Linked DNA regions of Bombyx mori. The protein of the gene in region 1 binds, or shares a complex with, the protein of each later gene. Links are inferred from orthologs where the notes say so. Each region holds a gene or a part of one and is shown on either strand. Other genes may lie near its edges. The genes, in order: cysteine desulfurase, mitochondrial; iron-sulfur cluster assembly scaffold protein IscU; LYR motif-containing protein 4.

Evidence for each region.
Region 2: cysteine desulfurase, mitochondrial (region 1) and iron-sulfur cluster assembly scaffold protein IscU share a complex: the UniProt entries of both Drosophila melanogaster proteins name them as parts of the mitochondrial core iron-sulfur cluster (ISC) assembly complex. The link is inferred for Bombyx mori from reciprocal best matches to the Drosophila melanogaster genes Nfs1 and IscU.
Region 3: cysteine desulfurase, mitochondrial (region 1) and LYR motif-containing protein 4 share a complex: the UniProt entries of both Drosophila melanogaster proteins name them as parts of the mitochondrial core iron-sulfur cluster (ISC) assembly complex. The link is inferred for Bombyx mori from reciprocal best matches to the Drosophila melanogaster genes Nfs1 and bcn92.

Annotation. Positions count from the first base shown.
Region 1 is NC_085110.1:10,989,674-10,993,434, forward strand, and holds the start of cysteine desulfurase, mitochondrial, read right to left. Parts: upstream 2,857-3,761; 5' UTR 2,662-2,856; coding exon 2,541-2,661; intron 2,220-2,540; coding exon 2,143-2,219; intron 2,065-2,142; coding exon 1,810-2,064; intron 1,270-1,809; coding exon 1,104-1,269; intron 1-1,103. UniProt on the Drosophila melanogaster protein: Catalyzes the removal of elemental sulfur from cysteine to produce alanine. It supplies the inorganic sulfur for iron-sulfur (Fe-S) clusters.
Region 2 is NC_085129.1:12,109,308-12,113,068, forward strand, and holds the start of iron-sulfur cluster assembly scaffold protein IscU, read left to right. Parts: upstream 1-1,315; 5' UTR 1,316-1,429; coding exon 1,430-1,522; intron 1,523-2,370; coding exon 2,371-2,751; 3' UTR 2,752-3,761. UniProt on the Drosophila melanogaster protein: Scaffold protein for the de novo synthesis of iron-sulfur (Fe-S) clusters within mitochondria, which is required for maturation of both mitochondrial and cytoplasmic [2Fe-2S] and [4Fe-4S] proteins.
Region 3 is NC_085108.1:8,217,283-8,221,043, reverse strand, and holds LYR motif-containing protein 4, read left to right. Parts: upstream 1-1,152; 5' UTR 1,153-1,387; coding exon 1,388-1,476; intron 1,477-2,514; coding exon 2,515-2,635; intron 2,636-3,561; coding exon 3,562-3,618; 3' UTR 3,619-3,699; downstream 3,700-3,761. Other genes in the region: uncharacterized protein LOC101737726, read right to left, coding at 94-179. UniProt on the Drosophila melanogaster protein: Stabilizing factor of the core iron-sulfur cluster (ISC) assembly complex that regulates the stability and cysteine desulfurase activity of Nfs1 and participates in the [2Fe-2S] clusters assembly on the scaffolding protein IscU.

The DNA.
Region 1 (3,761 bases):
TGGTTACTGGAGCCCATAGACATCTACAACGTAAATGCGCCACCCACCTTGAGATATGTTCTCAGGTCTCAAGTATAGTAAGGAGCTAAGTTTATTTCTATAATTTTGTGTTACCTTACCAAATATCATCTTTCAATAGAAGTTACAAAAAATGTAAACAAGCTTAAACATTGAAACAGCCAATCTAATGATGTAATGAACTAGAAAACCATTTAAGACAGAATTTTCCACTCATTTGTTGGAGACAATATTTTAGAGAAATTACTTAATTAACATAGTAAGTAAAGTAAAATTTAAATCACAGCTATGCTCCTGTTTCCCTCAAAAATTTATAAGATCGGAATGCAAATATAATACTTAATTAAATTTAATAATATAAATCTGAAAACACCCAATAATAAAGTGACATGTAACTATCTGGCAGCACAACACATGTAATGTAATTAGGTATGTACTTATAAATAAATGATTGTAATAATTACATATATTACAAGTCTTGGAATTTTGTATTTGATAGCGTAAGTACCTACCCAAGGGCTAGGGGTCGTCTGAAATCAATGGATTCAGACTCATCTCAAATGTATGGATTGTAAAACTGTGACTGAGCCTCTAGGAGGCCTGTAATACTGAATATTAAAAAAATATAATCCCACATAAGTAGTTGATATTACCCTGCCAATTTCTGGTACAGAGCCGTTATGCATTAAGTTTGAAGCTTGAGACCACCATACAATTGAAGTGAGACAGCAATATCATGTCTCGAGGGGAGTAATTGATGTTACTTTGAATGAAATATTAAACTTTTATGATAATGCAAATTGTCAAACAATTTTATTTTATTGCAAGGTCAGATAAAGTTTATAATTTATTTACATTACTGTTAAATTATAAAATATTACAAGTTAATGATGATAAGACAATGTCAACAAATTTTTGGATCTTGAGGTTAAATTAGTTTATTAATGTTCCTTGCTATCATATCACACAATATATTTAAAGTTGAAAGGTTATTAATATATAACAAATTAACAAAAAAATATAAACATTACAGAGATTACAAATCACAATAGCACATAATGAAAAAAGTTTACATGTTTACAAACCTATTTCATTATTGACAGTCATTATAGATACCAAACTGGTTTCTGGCGTGATGGCATCTTCCAAATCCTTTAAATTTATAATTCCATTCTGTTGGACTGGTAAATATGTAATTCTGAAACCTTCACCTTCTAAAGCACGACATGAGTCTAAAACACATTTGTGTTCCTGAAGAATAAAAACTCCATTATTACCAAAATATAATTTTTGAAAAAAAAAAAGCAACAATGTAATCTTGTGACTATAGTGTAAGTGTAAACTTGTGTTAATAGACAGACTAAATGAAAATTACAACGACTGAAATAAATAATAAATAACGACGCTTGAAAGGCAAATGTGACTAAGCGACAATAACTGCTTTGTATGAGGCCTATGTCTATAATAATATGAATGATAGGCAATAACCATATTCGATGTGCAAAAAATATATATTTCTAGGTCTATTAAATTCATTTCAATCCTACAGCTAGATTCATTAAAATATAATTTTTTTCGGGTATTTCAACTTTAAATTAGTCTACTGTAAAGTTCACGCATTGTCGCTTAGTCACGTTTGCCTTTCAAGTGTCGATAAGTTCATTCTAATGGCTATGAATCAATCTTTTACTTAGCTATTATAATTTATGCAGTGAGTTAAAAATATAATGTTTATTATAGAAATTTCTACTACTAAAGGACTTTTTTGAATAAAAATAATTAAAAACTTACAATTTGAGTAGTAATGACATGCTTTTTTCTTGGTGCATAAAATCGACCCACACCTTTAACAGATATGTTATTTGATTCTGTTGCTCCTGAAGTAAATATAATTTCTTTTGGTTCAGCATTTATTAAATTTGCCACTTGTTCTCTGGCTTTTTCAACAGCAGCTTCACTTTCCCATCCATACGCATGAGTTCTTGAATGTGGATTGCCATGATAACTTACTAAGTATGGTAGCATTACATCAAGAACTCTAGGATCCTGAAGTTAATTGCACTTAAATCTCCATTCATAAGTGATATGAATAAATGTAAAATTTTCGTATCATGTTCTACTTACCATTGGTGTAGTGGCTTGAGCATCGAAATACAAAGGCCGGCCAACTTCCTCATGTTTTAATGAAAATTTGTCATTTGCTGAAACATGTACTGATTTTAACTTTTTATAATAAATTTGCAACAAAATTAAATTTTGCAGTAAATGTTTATTGAATAACAAATGTATTTGATGTGGGAAGTTGACACGTAATGTATAATATTCCATGTTTACTCAAAAAATTGTGGCAATTGTGATGTAAATGATTAGCACATTTTGTTGATAGGGTAAAAATCAATAATATAGCGTAACTTTGTATAATATTATGACATTGAATATACACTATTAACTTAAACCTTAGAACATAGAAATTAGATACAAAAATAAGTAGGTATAATACTAATTAAATCATGGTAGTTTACCAGAATCGGAAAAAAAATTGCTTTGCTCAAATATAACAACGCCGTTTCCATTTAATTGGGTTTTCTGTTTTATTGCGGATTTACAAACCACCGAAATCACGTTTTTTGTCAAACGGAACATTTTGAATGAAATAAATTAAACAATTTTGCAAGTTTAAAAACAAGCAATTCTTAACCAGAGTCTTGACTAAAATAATTTCGAATTCATATCATTCATTCATATGATTCAATCGTGTGATTGACATTTGTTTTTTTTTTTAATTTATTTACGGCCAACGGTTACAAGACCTTATAGACTATTGACACTTGTTGTCAGGGCAGTGTGACCAGATTTCATTTGATGAATCTACTGCTTGTGGAGGTTAAAATCTACTGAATTCTACCAAAAGAGAAAGAGAAATACTAAAAATCTATTATACTTTTTTTACTGTCGTGTTACAATGTAAATTGTGAAATATTGTTATGTGTATATAACAATTAATTATTTTAATTTAACAATAAAATATAATTTAACAATAAACAATAAAATAATAAAAAGAAACCACAATTAATTAAAGAGACAATGTTCTTGTTTAAATTAAATTCTAATTAAAAATATAATTTTCGTCTTTAGGTTGGGTAACATTTGCATAAAGTTGTTTTGAGTGGACTTTTGGCGGGAACGTGAGGAGTGAAGTTGTGTGATTTGTTTTATTTTGTCTAGTTAGTGTTTCTTCAGATTTAAACGTGTAATAGCGGTGGTTTATTAACTGTTTAGTATCTGTGAAAGTGCACAAATTTGGGAAAATAAAACAAAGCCACTGAACGTAACTTCTCGGGATCTTCCAAAAAGTCCACTGAAAAAGTCTCAGTAAATGACCACCATTTTACTGAGATTATACTTCATCCCATATCATCTCATCTCATGTCATTTCATTTCGTTTTCATTTCACTTTATGCCATGTTTCATCATAATCAACTTCATTTCATTTTATAATATCATTTTCATTTATAAAAGTTACGTATCATTAAAATTAAAATAAGACTTGACCTAAAGGTCTTAGTTACCAGGTCATAAAATACCTTAAAAAAAAAAAGTTGTTTTGAGTCCATTGATATCTTGTACTTCTGTCAGGATCAAATGTGTGACATCAACTGTCATAGCCCCTCTTTTTCATGCATTAGGTATTGCAGCAACATTCTTATTATTAAATCGATTTCGATCTTGATTTTTAATCCTAT
Region 2 (3,761 bases), on another chromosome or scaffold:
GATAATTTTGAATAAAAGTTGTAGACAAAAACATCATGAATAAACCAGATTCTTACCAACAATTAAAAAAAATATTGTTATAATTACATAGACAACCCTAGAAACCTGTACCTATTTATACTTAGGTCGTTTCCATTTCACATATTCTCATCCCAATCGACCCCTTTTTCGTTGTTATTTGTACCTGAGACGTCCCCAATATCCCCAAAAACAACAGATTTTTACATGTATTTTTATTTTATCAAATACATTAATACCAATAACAACTGAGACTTACCTTTAATATAACGGCCGTCTGGTGTAGTGGTAAGTGACATGGTCACTACACAAGGTGGTCGCGGGTTCGAATCCCGCCAAGGGAAGATTATTATATGATAAATATAAATGTCTTTTCCAGGGTTATGGTTGTATATTAAATATATGTATGTGTATAATCAAAATCTTACATTTATTTCCGTTATCTGGTACCTGTAACACAAGTTCTTTACGAACTTATCACGGGACCAGTTAACGTGGCGTGATTATTAGTAAATATTTATTTATTTATTTATTTTATATATGATGGTTCAAACACTAATTTGCGTTTATAAATCACAGTCCTCTTCTATTATTTTAAAATAAATAAAAGAGAACAAAGTTTCTAGCACTAAAATAATTACCACCACAGAAAGTTAATTTGAAACACGATTTTTTATAAGTTATTATCATGCATATTCAGAGTTGTTTTGTGAACTTTCAACATTCTACTATTACACTACAAAAAATGGAAGATTTTGCAACGATTAAAAAACTAGTATTGCGCGTCGAAAGATTTTCCTGTTTTTTTCCCCAATCACCTCTCGATCCCTAATCGCCCCATTTTACGGTACCTATTATTGGTCTTTTTTGGCGGGAACGCGAGGAGTGAAGTTGTATGATTTTTTTTTATTAATTTTGTCTATTTAGTGTTTCTTCAGGTTTAAATGTGTAATAACGGTGGTTTATTAATCGTTTAATATTTGTGAAAGTGCACAAATGTGGGGAAATGAAACAAAGCCACTGAACGTAACTTCTCGGGATCCTCCAAAAAGTCCACTGAAAAAATCTCAGTAAATGACCACCATTTTACTGAGATTATATTTCATCCCAAATCATCTCATTTAATTTCATCCCAGTTTATTAATGTCTCAAATTAATCATCTTCATTTCATTTCACTCCATAATATCATTTTTTATAAAAATATGAATATATTTAAATTAAAATAAGACATGACTTAAAGGTCTTAGTTACCAGGTCACAAAATCCCTTTAAAAAAAACCCAACTATATAGTACTATATACTTGAAAACTTGAAACTACGTCCAAATATAATAAGTGTATAATCTATGACTACGTCGTCTAAAATATAAGAACGTTTATCATCTGAATTTGTTTTTCTGAAATATATAAAATGGCTTTTTTAATCAACGGAATTCGTCGATGTATGTGTCTTAAAGGCTTTGGAAGTCCTAATGTGATTCTTGCGGCACCTTATCATGCAAACGTAAGTACCTATATGCATCAAAAATATTTGCCAATGTCAAGGATTATCGATTTTCTACTTTGCGACGTAATTTTGGCAAAAACCTTGACCATCAGAAAAAGCGAGTAGGAGCTAATGGTCGGCCGATTAAAATGTTAATAATTAATTAAGAGTCTTTTAAAATAAACTCCCGGAACCATTCTCGATTAGAAATTATTTTCGAAATTTAGACATTTCTTGCAACATGCAATCGAAAATTGTATAAATTTTGGAAAGTATACATTTATAATTTCATTTTCTCTTAAGATTTATAACAAGCTCTTTAAGCTGTTTAAATAATAAAATAAGCCTCACGAGTGTCAAGTTTTTGTCGAACAATCCAGAATGTACATTCGATCGAAAATTTATTATTTGAATCAACTTTAATAGTAAATTACTTAAATAAAAATAATACTTAGATGGAAATATCCACTACCTTTTTTTCTACATGTATGTTTGTAGTGTCATCTCATCACCTACAAATTTTTCACCATAAAATTTTCAACTACAAATAAAATACACTTTCATTACAACCATATAGGTAAGAAGAAGGATACATCCTAAGTACTATTAAGGATTGAGATTTCAAGTAATTGTCTAATGTGAGAATTTAAGTTATGCAATATCTTCGCCCTAGTGGAAAAAGAGTGCCAGCAACTGTTTCACTGAGCTAGTCAAAATATTATTATACTAACTAAGGGATTTAGAATTGCCGATTTCAAGAAAATGTGAATTCATTGCTATCTAACCAAAGGGACAAACAAACAAACAATTACAGTTTCAGATTTATAAAATTAGTATGTATAATAAGAGTATACTTTATCTTACAGGTCATTGACCATTACGAGAATCCTCGCAATGTTGGTTCATTGGATAAGAAAGATAAAAATGTAGGTACAGGCCTCGTTGGTGCACCTGCATGTGGAGACGTAATGAAGTTGCAAATCAAAGTGGACGAGAATGGAAAAATCGTTGATGCCAAATTTAAAACTTTTGGATGTGGTTCAGCTATAGCTTCAAGCTCTCTTGCCACTGAATGGGTTAAAGGAAAAACAGTTGATGAGGCACTAAAATTGAAGAACACAGATATTGCTAAAGAGCTGTCCTTACCACCAGTCAAGCTTCATTGCTCTAGTAAGTTTTTAATTGTTAAACTGCAATTTATCAACATAGTAATGATATGTACAAAACTTTTTTTACTGGAACTGTAAAGAGTCAGAACATTTACCAAATTTTTTAAGTTCTTTTCATATGAATTACAGACACTAAGTACTTTAATTTGATACCACACACATGAAGCTATTGTCTGTGATTAAATAAAGCATCATATTTTACCATACTGAATTTTAAAATGCATTATTGGAATAACTATGGATTTGGTAATTACTTAATAACAGGTGGCATGTAAGCTTATTGATCCATCTCAGCAATAAAAAATGCTAAGGAAAAGTTAGTGTAACACAGAAAATATTCTGGTCCAGATACAAATTAAGCAAAATACTATCTACGGTCACGGTGGCATAATAATTTTAATGAATATGAACCATTGAATTAGGACCATTGTACTTGTGCCTTCACTCTGTGGTTGATTTATGATTAGTATACTGGACACTATAGCAGGGGTGGGCAAATATTTTGATAGTCGGGCCACATTGCAGATGAAAATTTGACCTCGGGCAAAACAGTTTTTTTTTTCTAATTTTAAGTATAGTTTTTGCTTAGGATGTCAATTAATAATTTTTTTATAACTTTTGAGAAAATTAGTTCGACTCTTCGAATTGAAAAATATGTTAAGCAAATACATGAGTTTCAGTTTCATTATTTCTTTAGTGTTTTACGATGCATGCACCCTCAGTAGATCTATATATGCTTTTATTTCGTTTAATTTTCTGCCAATTTATTGCGGACAGATATTCCTCCAAATGAAAATTAATATAAAATAACTTGCGTTCTACTATATTGCAGGAGAAAATGGCGGCTTTAGATTTAAGTTATTTTGTTTATTCATGCAATAATGTGATATAATAAGTATAATAACTAATAAAATTGTGCGACTCTTATACATACTGTAATTGTTCAATTATCATAATTATATTTTCGAATAGGAGGCGCTGAAAAGAGGGGTTGTCCGGGAGAACATTTTGGCTCCCACCAGCATTTATGTTATACAAAAACTAATATTTGTGTTTTTAATAATAATAAAATGCTTCACGGGCCAAAA
Region 3 (3,761 bases), on another chromosome or scaffold:
CAACGAATGTTAATTTTAATAAATAATAGTTTAATGCAACTTCTATATAAAAGAACCAGTAAGATTTAATACATTTCAATTAATTTTAATTACCTGTAAGACAATACAGGACTCTCATCGCTGTGCACGTGATATCTTTCCTCATCATGCCAATTCTTGTGCGATGGTGAATATTCCATGAACTGAAATCAATAATTTAGTAGCCAGGATGGCAGATGGCTCATGGTTGCCTGTTTTAATCAGCAACCACAGGGGCCACACAAGAAATCAGAATATAAAGAGCACAAGATTCCTTGAGATATGAGGATTGAATTACAAATACATTAATATTAAACTACTTCTTATATAATTACTTTACTTTTTTACTATGGATAATATTTAATTTAATTTCCATTGCAACTTAATTAATGATATTCAATTTTCATCATTAATTTGTTTTTTATTATTATAGTATCTGTTTAGAATTTTAGATTTTAACCTGATAATTATTTCAATGACCAAGCGAAATAGTCTCTTTATTTCTTTTTAGTTTTGAAAATTGTTTTTAAAAATTAAAGTTAATATTAGGCATTTCATGGTATGTAATATTTGTGTTACATGGTATGTAAATTGTATTCCTTTGCTAACTTTCATAACTTGACATAACACATATTAAGTGATTTACATACAAAACATGTTTAGTAATCATCTTCCGCTAAGTTACACAACAAAATGTGCAGGCAAGTGAATTTTTAAAAATGGTCTAGAAATCCTAACTTCTTTGACAAAAATATGACAATTTTCTTCGCTAGTCTTGTAAACAAAGTACTTTTGTTGTTTGTTTCCTTTGGATAATTTGGTTAAAATAATTTAAATTTCATCAAACTTTTAACTCACTGTTTAATTTAGTAAGTACCTATATATGTCTTAGAATGACGGCTGACGAGCATAACAATATTTGAATTTGTAATTATCAGATCGCAAATGTTATTAAAACATCGGGAATGTCAAATCAGATGTTACTGACGTTAGACCAAATTGACAATGTACACTTTTCGGTATCCTGTAGTGTAGCTAGACAAAGGCTACTTAAATTTACATCCTTACTAGTGTAAATTGTGACTAATAATCAAAGTCGAATTGAAACTTCTACCCAGACGCGAAACTTACGAATTTACCTTCTTTTACATTTATTATCACAATTCAAAAGTTTTGCACGATAAATTTATTTTATAACAAATAAAGGTTTAACACCGTGTAATACGGAACGTCTAATTTTTGTTTACATAAAAAAACTGGAGTGTAATGTCATAACTGGTCATAACAATTCGTAAGACAAATATCATTGGGTATTACCTTTTATCAATATATTATAGTTTTTAATAAGCTTGTCGAATAATAAAGCGAAATGTCTGGCGCGATACCTAAAATACAAATATTATCTCTCTATAAATTGCTTCTCAGAGAATCCCAGAAGTTCCCTAACTATAATTTCAGGTAATGTTTTGCACCATTATATAACCTAAAACAAATGAAAGATTTACTCCAACGTTACTAGTGAACACAAAAGCATAATTTTGTTACCTTCTTAAATTACAAACAAAGTCAATACATTTTTAATTTTGTCATGATATGTGGCTACCAAATTCTATTAGGCTTAAGTAAATGTATTTACTGGTGGTAGGACGTCTTCAGAGTCCGCACGGGTAGGTACCACCACTCCGCCTATTTCTGCCATGAATCAGTAATGCGTTTCGGTTTGAAGGGGCTGGGGCAGCCATTGTAACTATACTGAGACCTTAGACTTTATATCTCAAGGTGGGTGGCGGCCTTTACATTGTTGATGTCTATGTGCTCCGGTAACCACTTAACACCAGGTGGGCTGTGAGCTCGTCCACCCTTGCTATAAAAAAAAAGCGAAAAAAATGAATTTCAACGCAATCAAAAATTATCAAGCTTGTTTGGAATCAATTATTTGGATAATAATTGAAATGAGTCAGGTAAATGGAATGATGAATGTGATATTAATGCACTTCATTAATATTAATTACTCATTATGATAAGTAATCAACGAGTTTAAATTAGCACTGTGAGGGGCATATAGCTCATAGAAAAAATGGTCACTATTGCAACTCTACACCAAAATCTGTAGTACAAGTAATCCTTCCAGAAGGTAGACCCACAGTATGTTGAAGTTGTGAGAATCTGTCAGATTTGAACAGCTTAGGATCAGTCACTGTGGTGAAGCTTGAGGATGGCCTATGTCCAGTAAAATTATGTAGACTGATGATGATGCTATAAATGATTATCATTTTCATGCATTTAAATTGTTATTTTAGTTTTTTAGGCGGACAAGACACATTTTAAGCAAACTTAATTAGATAATTAAATAAAAAAATCAGCCTCAATTAATAACTACAGCATCAGAGTTACAGTAATTAAAATGAACGAGATTTTCAAAGCCTCAATAAATTATGAATTAATTAATCAACAATTTATCAAAAAATGCTAAATTTTAACCATTCATCCTTTCAGAGCATACGCACTAAGAAGAATTCGAGATGCTTTTAAAGATAATAAAAATGTGTCTGATGTTAAGATTGTGAAGAAAGAGTTTGAATTTGGAAAAGAAAATTTAAATGTTATCAGGAGACAGGTGTGTGAATATGTTTCATTTATGTTATCAAACACATGTGATAATTAGCTTATATTTTATTTAGAAAAGTATTATATTTATATCTTGGTTTCCTTTATATCACATCAGTTAAGTGGTAACGGTAGTCTATAAACATTACAATGGGAAATCTGCCACCTTTTGCTTTTTACAATTTGTCCTTAGTCTTATTGCAGTGCATTTTGCAGTGTTGGTCTTCAGGAGCAGGAAAGGAGAACCAATTTTCTAAAATTTCTATTAATGAAAATAAAGTATACTTCATCCCTACTGTGATGGGTTTGAAATGTTGATTTGATCAAAATATTAAACAACTGATCTTTTTCTCATTCAAATAAGAAAATGTGGTTGCCGAGCTGAGCTGAGAGAGCTGGGAGAGATTATGGTACCAATCTATTCAGGCTCACTCTGGTAGTTTTCCAATTACAGCACAAGAGCTCATTATGCGGCATAATGCTCAACGTTGAATGTTCCAACTGCAGCAACTCGAAGCACAATTGAGCACTCTCAAAAGTACTGCTCTCGCGTGATACTCGCAATCGATACCGACTCAGTGACAGAAAATTGACAAGTGTTTTTTCTTTAAGTTGGCATTGATCGAAATTTTGTTTATATTATCGTTAGTAATATTATTTAATGTTGAAAAAAATTGTAAGGCTTTCGTTTCGTCGTAGTTTCTTAGAAATAATCAATGTTAATTAAGACTGTGCTAACTTAGCGCACTCTGCTGATGCATTTCAAAACTAATTCACGTTCCAATTAAGCTTCAGCATAATTTGGCATTGTGCGTCACTGAGTCGCATTATGCTCTGTAATTGGAAAACTACCACTACACCCCACCTCTGATCTAACTGCACTAAAAGGTTAAACTATTGTGATTAATTCATATATGAAATCATCTTGTTTTACAGGCAGCCATTGGAAATATGTATAAAACAGAAAAACTTGTTATCGAAAATCTGCGGTAGCTTCATGTTTATAATTGTATATTATTATGAAACATCTGTAATGTATAATGTACATTTGACTAATAAATAGTATAATGCAGAGTTTTTTATTCAAATTAAATCTGTAGGGGTCTCAGAACTTTCATTTAAATAATTATAATTGG